Linked DNA regions of Diceros bicornis minor. The protein of the gene in region 2 interacts with the protein of the main gene of each other region in a biochemical or structural test. Links are inferred from orthologs where the notes say so. Each region holds a gene or a part of one and is shown on either strand. Other genes may lie near its edges.

Region 1 (3,902 bases), on a different chromosome or scaffold from region 2:
AGGCCACTCAGGTCTCCTTTGTCTATGCAGCTGGCCAGCAGCTGCACACTGCTCCTCTCAGGGGCCCTGCTGGTTAGCCTGGGCTGCAGGGAGTAGGCGGTCAGTGAGACCAGGCCCTGCTCTGTCTCCTGCATCACCAGCCCTGTCCTCGCCACCGAGGTCCCCAGGCCACAAGCCAGCAACTGCTGGAACTCAGGGTCCATGTCTTCGACGGTCCCGCTGCTGCCTGGAGCTGGCAGCCTCAGCAGCTTGAGCCGGAGCTGGCCCGCTGGGTCCTCCTGCACCAACAGCCCCTGCTGGTCCACGTCCGGCCGGCGCAGCACTTGGCGGACAATCCTGGGAAGCTCGCCAGACACCAGCTCCTCCTTCTGTATATGGGGGCCTCCCTGCCCTGGGCCTGGGAGCACATACTTGGCAAGGCAGAGCTCCCCCTGCCCTCGGGCCTCCATGAGGATTCCTCCGTGGTGCAGAATGCCAGGCGTGGCATGCAGAGTCCGCAGGGTCCCCTCAGCTGCAGTCTTCTGCCTCTCCAGCACCCTGTTGGCTGAGGGGCCTGCAGGCTGCTCTTCTTGGAGGTTGTCCCCTCGGATGCTCTCAGCTGCCAGGGAGCCCATGGGGCAATTCTCAAAGAGCCAGGTGAACTTGTGCACAGAGCCAGCAGGGATGGGCTCAGGGATTACTCTGGATCCCTCATCTTCCCTCTTGCCTGCCTCCAGGGCCTGGAAAACCTCCTTCTGACGAGACACCTGCCCTGAAGGGATCTCCACTCGGCTGCAGTATCGTACAGGCCCTCTTCCGCAAGGACGGCCTGAGGCCTGCAGAGGCTCAGTCTCAAAGACATGTCTGTCTGTCTGTCTTTCCCCAGCCTGGACCTGGCTAACCTGCAGGTGCTGCTCCCAGGAACCTTCTGGCCTGTCCAGGGGTTGGGGCACAAACATCCAGGTGCAGGACCTTTCCTTGGCCTTAGTTGTGGGATGTGTGACCTCTGACCCTTGCTTCTCCGCCAGCTCACTCATTGGGCATGTCTCAAACAACCACCGGATGGTCTGCACGTCACCCTTTAGGGGTGCCTCAGGCTGGGGACCTGTCTGACTCTTTCCTTCTTCTACCTGTCGTTCCTGCTGCTCCCGTTGGTGGATCACCTCTAGGGGCTGGGTCTCAAAGAGCCACCGAGCAGTGCGCACGTCTCCAGCCACTACCTCCTGCCGGGTGATGCCCCGAACCACATCGACAGTACTGGGGTTTCGGCCCAGTTGGTCTAAGGGCTGTGTCTCAAACATCCACCTGTAGCCCTGCACGTCACCTCCGACTACCTGTTCTCTGCTGACAGAGGTCAGGGCATGGAGGAGGCCTTTACCATCCTGCATGGCGTACACTGGGGACCCTATGTCCTGAGACTGCCCAGCAGAATCAGTTCCTTCTGCTCCATTCACACTCCTGTGGGCCAAAGGCTCACCCTGCCCGATGCTGTCCAGGGGAAGGGTCTCAAAAAGGTTCTTGAAGGTCTTCACATCCCCCTTCACCCCATCCCTCTGGGGGGCACTCTGAGAAAGGGACTGTGGGGAGGAGCCATCACTGGATGGACGCTCATACACGAGCCCCTCACCCTCCCGGGGACCCACCCGCTGCAGGTGACCCACTTGGACGTTGTCTCTGAGAGTGTCCAGGGGCTTTGTCTCAAATAGCCACAGGGTGGAGCGGACATCACCAGGGACCACTTCCTCTTTGGGTGGGACCTCTGTTACAGCCTCCTCTTCTCCCTTTAGAGTGTCTAGTGCTTGGGTCTCAAATAGATGCCGCTGATGCTGAACATCTGGACCAGGAGGGATAAGGTCTGGGGACGGCTGGAAGTCCTTCTCATCCACCAAGATCTCCCGGATGGCATCCAGGGGCTGTGTCTCAAAGATCCAGCGAGTTGCACTGACATCAGGCCGGGCCCCTTCCTCCAGGGAGATCCCCCGGATCACCCGCACTTGGCTGGGGTCCCGGTTGATGGCATCCAGAGGTTGGGTCTCAAAGAGCCAGCGAGCGGTCCTCACTGCATTGCTTTGGATCTCCTCCCGGCAGGCAGCCTTGACCTCATGGATGGCTCCCTCTGCGTCCTGGATAGCACACAGCGGCTCCGTTTGGAACAGCTTCACTGTCTTCTTCACATCACCTTTCAGCTCCTGGATCTCTGAGCGCAGCTCCAAGGGGCTCTGCTCCTGGATGGAGGGGCGGGAGCCCAGGCGGTCCAGCGGCCGTGTTTCAAAGAGCATCCTGGTACCCTGGACATCTCCGCTGGCTGCAGGCTCCTTCACTGTAGCCTCAGGTGCCTCAGCCTGGCCCGTCAGCTCATCCAGCGGCTTCGTCTCAAATAGCCAGCGGGCGGCACGAACATCCCCTCTGGATGGCTGAGGTCCAGCTGGCTCCTGGTCTATGCCGTTGGCAAAGGAGCCTTCCTCAAACTTTCGAGAGGTGGCCTGGACGTCGCCGCCAGGCACGGGCTCCTTGGCAGGTGGCTTCTCACGGTCCCCAATGGCGTCCAGCCGCCAGTTCTCAAAGATCCAGCGCATGCACTGGACGTCACCCTCGGTGGGCTCCTCAGAACTCAGGACCTCAGCCAGGTCTTCAGCCACGGCCTCGGCCAGGTTCTTGCGGAGCTCAGGATGGATGTGCTTGTAAAGGCGGCGGAGCTCATTAGCTTGCCGCTGCTGGTGGAACTTGGAGAAGGACTCCTTGGGTGGTGGTGGTGGCAGATCCTCCAGGGCTGGGGGTTGGGGGAGAGGGAGGTCCTCTGCAGTTGCCATGGGGACGGCTGATGTGGGGGCTGCCTGTGTCTGGGCTTTGGCCATCCTCCTGAGGAGAAGGGGCAGAGATTAGGATGGGGCTGGGAGCCTTAGGTGGGATGGGGGCTAGTTGCTGGGAGAAATAGCAGGGAGCAGGGCCCAGGGCCAGAGTAGCCCTGTGGTGACATGTACTTAGAGACCCCCTCCCTCTCCAGACCTCACCACGGTCTCCTTCTGCCACCTGCATGGTTGGTGTATGACAAGTCTTGAACTTAGGGCATAGGGAGCCGTCCATCAAGGTGGGTCCCGGCTTCCCCAGAGTCACCTGTGTTGCTAGGGAGTAAGCAGGGCACTGCTGTTGCCCTTGAAGCTCTGTCCTTCAGCCCCACAGGGATGCCCAAACCTCTGGCTGGCAAAGTGGACATGCTCCATCCTCACCTTCCTTTGCCAAAATCAGTTTTCCCTGGTGAACTCCCAAGTGAGTGGCCTGGGGTCCCTAAATTGGTGACCCCTTCCCATGGAGAAGAAATACCCTTTCATAGCACCAGAGGGCGCACTTGCCACTTTCACGGGAAGTCCTGCCCAACCTTCACCTCTTGGCTCTCAACTCACTCTCCAACCTTTCCCAGGCCCAGGCAGGCAAGCAGGAGCCAGCAGCCCATGCGGTAGCAGAGGTGGTCACAGCTCTGCGAGGGGCAGTTGTTCCCAGATATCTCATGGTTAGGCAGAGCCAGATTCTGAATCCCAGGTTAGGGGTTTTCTGTGCCATAAGGCAAGACTCAGAAGGTCTGAGCTGGGGGATTTCAAAGGTCTTCGAGCCCAACCACTCCTAGTTACAGATGAGAAAACTGAAGACCAGAAAGAGTCAGATCTTGGTGAATGAATGGCAGGCAATGCTGGCTCGGGGTTACTACACCCTATGTGGGGCCTGGCTCCCAAGAAATGAGAGGGTGGGGGTATGAAGCTCTACTACTGGCTACGTGCCCCTCTGTTCCCCAGCAGGCACCTCAGGAGAGTGTGAGGGCGACACTGACAGGGAGGGAAGGCAGTGGGACCGAGGGCCTTTCTGCAGAGATAGCCCTGACCCTTGCTCGTGGAGACTCGTCCCCACCGTGTGCAGCTGGCCGAGTCTCC
Region 2 (3,902 bases):
CCTCCTTTGGCTGTTGGCTCAAGGAGAAGGAATAGCAACTGGGGAACAGCTGCGGGACAGAGCTGCCTCACAGGCCTCTTTGTTCCGAGGGGCTGAGGGGGTGGTGGGGGCCGAGACAGGGGTAACAGGGTAAGAAGGGCACGCAGCTCCTCAGCCCAGACTGAGTACCCCCTCCTTCAGGTGGATGTCTCAGCCCCCAGCTTCCACTCCACTCCTAGAAATGGAAGTGGGGAGTCTTTTTGACCCCCCACTCCCAAGTGCCCAGACGCTCAATTTCAGTCCAGAGACAACACCCAGAGAGGGTATTGGGCAGCCCCTTCCTGGGCAGCCCCTTCCCACCTCTAAGTGGGACAGAGGGAATAGAGTAAGCAGGATGCTGCTCCTGGCGGGGAACCCCTTTCCGTCTCCTCAGCATTGGGCAGCCCCTGCCGCCTGTGTCCCCTCCCCTCCAGCCTCAGCCTCAGGCCTAGCAGCTGAATTGCTGACAGCTTATCTCATCAGTGCGAGTGAGCCACTTGGCCCAAATGGGGAATGGCTCCCCTTCCTCTCAGCAGGAACCGAGGAGCTTCCCTCCCACCCCCAAACCAGCTTTTGCTTCTTTCCCCTCTACTCTGAGCCGGCCCCTCCACAGTTGAGCCAAGGGGCCGGAGCCAGGCACCACCATGGGGGAGGGGAGAGGTGCGCTCAGGAAGGATGAGGCCTGGAGAGCGGCCCAGCGCCCCCACAGCGGGGAGGGGAGGGGAAGCCTGAGTAGTTTCCTATAAACTCTTGGTGAGGCCCCAGCTCTCCCCTCGGTGACCCCACCTGGGACAGTCAGTCCTGTCTGTCAAATCCCAATGTGCAGGGGAATGACCGCCCCAGGGCAGACTGTGTCTGACCACCCGCCCCCCCAACGCACGCGCACACACACACTCTGGGAGCCCTCAGCCCCAGCACACACACCAGGGCCCCCTCCCCCACCCCCTGTCCTCAGGCTTGTCCTTCTGGAAAGCTCAGAGACATCTGCTGTGTCACGGAGGCAGGGCTATTTCCAGGCCCCAGCGAGCGGGTGGGGTGGGGGGGCAGTATTGGGGCAGGAGGGGGTAAAGCCTAGAGAGGGGACTGGACAGGGCAAAGGGCCCCGGCCTGACTTCAGCTGCTAATTCAGGAGGCCTAGCGATGCCCTGAGGGAGAGTGGGGGTGGACATTCAATTATCTGGGGAAGTTTCTGGGGCAGCCTGGTGGAGGAGGCACCTGACCCCAGGTGAAACTTCCCTCCTGTGGCCCTAGGGTGCAGCGCCCAAGGGCCTTTCCTGTAAATCACAGCAGGACTCTTAAGAGCTCAGCACAGGGGTAGGGGGTCTTCCCCTCGCCCCCAGCCTGCAGGGACGACCACAGGACAGTGGGGAGAGGGGCAGCCTCTCGCCACTCAGAGCTCATTTGCTCCTCAGCTCCCTAGCCTAGAGTACCTCCCCCACCCCCACCCAACACTGACACACCTTCCAAATCTGGTTACACTCAATGACTTCCTCCCTTCTACAGGCTTCCCCTCCCTCCCCTCAGCCCAGACCGTTAGCTGCAGCCAATCCCGGCTTAGGGGGTGGGCTGGGGCTAGACACCGACGTCCAGGAGCCCCCTCCCGGACAGGCCGAACCGCGCGAAGGCTAGGCAGGGGTTAAGGCTCCCTGCGCTCGCTCAGTGCCTTTTTAGGTTTCTGAGGCTGGGCCCTGCCTGCCCCGGCCCCCGCGCCTGAACCCAGCTGCTGAGCACATGCCTGCCCCGCCACCAGCTCTCCCTCTGCCTCAGAGCCCTTGGATCAGGCCGTGGTTGGGACCTGCCTTCAGCCCGCTCCTCCCCTGTGGAGGTGCTGGGAGGCTGGGAAGCCATTTGCTTTGTTTGGGGGGAGACGCCCCCAGGAATCAGTAATGGGCACTGGCCCTGTCCTCTCAAGCATGGGCTGGGGTTGCCCGATGGCAGGAAAGGGGACAATGAGTAGAAGCGGGTTGGTGGGAGTGGGTGGAGGGAGCTTGAAGCTGGAGGACTCGGGAAGAGTAAGGTCTGGTCCTCGGGCCCCCTCCGGGATGCCGGCTGTCCTGCGCGGGCTGTGAAGGCACTGCCCGCGTGGCCTGCGTCGGAGGGCGGGAGAGCCGGGGCCGGGGTCCTCTCCCTGCGCCGGGGGCCGCTCTCTGCCCTCTCTCTCAGCTCCCCGCGCGCACCCAGCACCGTGTCCCCTGCCCCCACGGGCCAACCCATCCTCGGTGCACTCTCGCCCTCCCCGCCCACACTGACCGATGGACACGAGCTTGATGTGCTCGCGCTCGAGGAACTCGAGGGCCACGGACACGTTCTCCAGCTTCATCTGGCGGAAGTTGGGGCGCGGGTGGAACTTGCGGTACATGCGCTTCTGGCTGAGCACCTCGAGCAGCGCGATGAGGCGCAGCCCGTCGCTGAGGTCGCGCTGCAGGTCGGTCAGGCGCTTGCCCACGCACTTGAGGTGCTCGTTGCACCAGCGCGTGAACGTGTTCTGCTGGATCTTCTTCCACGGCGCGTCCTCCGCCAGGTCCTTCTCCGTGGACGGCATGTCGTCCGCCTCGTCGCCCAGGCCGAGGCCGGCGGGCTCCGAGTAGCCGCTGTTGTTCATCATGCTGGCGCGGGCTGGGGCGAGGGCTGCGGGCCGGCTCGGCTGGGCTGGGCTCGGGTTGGGGCGCTGTCAGGGGGCGCTGTCGGGGCGCGACGGCGGGACTCGCAGCTCCGCGCTGCGCTGCTCTCACTTCTCTCGCGCCCTGGCTGGCGGGTCACGGCGGGCCTCCTCGGCTTCTCGGCCGCCTCTCTCTCTCTCTCCCTCCGGGGGCGGAGCGGTGCTCGGGAAGTGCGGGCCGGGCCGGGGCGGGGGGTTTAAGAAGCCCCCGAGCCGCGCTCCCCCCGCTGTGCCCGCGGCCCCCGGGTCCACGTCAGAGCGCCGGCCTCCCAGGAATGCCGCCCGGCCCGCGGGTGGGGGCCGCGCCGCGCCGGCCGCCCCGCCTCCTCCGCCCCTCCCCCACGCGGCCGAGCGGCGGGACAGGGGGTCCCACCCCGGCCCGGGTCTGCGGCCCAGGGGAGCTCGGTCCCCGGTCCTGGTCCCCAAGGCCGCCCCGCTGGAGAGGTCAATAGTGGAGCTGGAAGGTGGGGGGTGAGGGCACCCAACACCCCAAAACTAAGCATTGCCAGTCGCAGATGAAATATGCCCTCTCCACACCCCGCGGGGCTAAAGAGATAAATAAGGAAACTGAGGCCAGTGGTTAGGGCAAAATACATTGATCTGGTGTTGACAAAATTTTCTGTCTGAGTTGGTGGCAGGGCCATTGACAGGGTCTAGGAGTCCGGGCTCCTAGCCCCGGGGTATTGTCCACCTGCGGACAGGGAAGGGAAGTGTGTGTGCTTGTGTAGAGACAGACTGAGAGGAAGTAGGGACACTGCCCAGGTCAATTAGGGAGAAGGCTTGGGGGGCTGCTCTGCTTTACAGGTAGCAAAGTCTCATTTGAGGCCCAAACCCAGGGTTCCAGGAGAAAGACTAGGCTGCCCCTGACTCAGTGTGCCTGTCACCAGCCGGTTTGGCCTCATCCCTTCAGAATGAAGCTGAGCTCAGTAAAAGAGTACCCAGTGAGTCACACTGTGGGCCCCCCCCCATCAAGTCTGACTCAACCAAGGTGATGTGAGAGGAGAGAGAGACTCTGTCCGGTAGTACTAGGGAGCCCCCTGGGCAATGTGCCCATTTGGGCCACAGGGTAGATCCTTCCAGAAAAAGAACGGGTTAGCCAGACACAAACAGGGAGAGCCCTGCCCAGAGCAGCCAGGGGGAAACGTGCCGGGGGGCCGGTGGGCAGGGAGAGCCCAAGGGAGCCAGCCAGGAACCTAGGCAAGACTGGGCTCAGGGCAAGCCAAGG

Evidence for each region.
Region 1: the proteins of FLNC (region 2) and XIRP1 form a complex in vitro, tested with the Homo sapiens proteins (2 studies listed by BioGRID and IntAct, with this or other methods). The link is inferred for Diceros bicornis minor from reciprocal best matches to the Homo sapiens genes FLNC and XIRP1.

Annotation. Positions count from the first base shown.
Region 1 is NC_080741.1:41,944,646-41,948,547, forward strand, and holds the start of XIRP1 (xin actin-binding repeat-containing protein 1), read right to left. Parts: upstream 2,835-3,902; coding exon 1-2,834. UniProt on the Homo sapiens protein: Protects actin filaments from depolymerization. Required for correct cardiac intercalated disk ultrastructure via maintenance of cell-cell adhesion stability, and as a result maintains cardiac organ morphology, conductance and heart beat rhythm.
Region 2 is NC_080742.1:77,584,834-77,588,735, reverse strand, and holds the start of FLNC (filamin-C), read right to left. Parts: upstream 2,860-3,902; 5' UTR 2,624-2,859; coding exon 2,269-2,623; intron 1-2,268.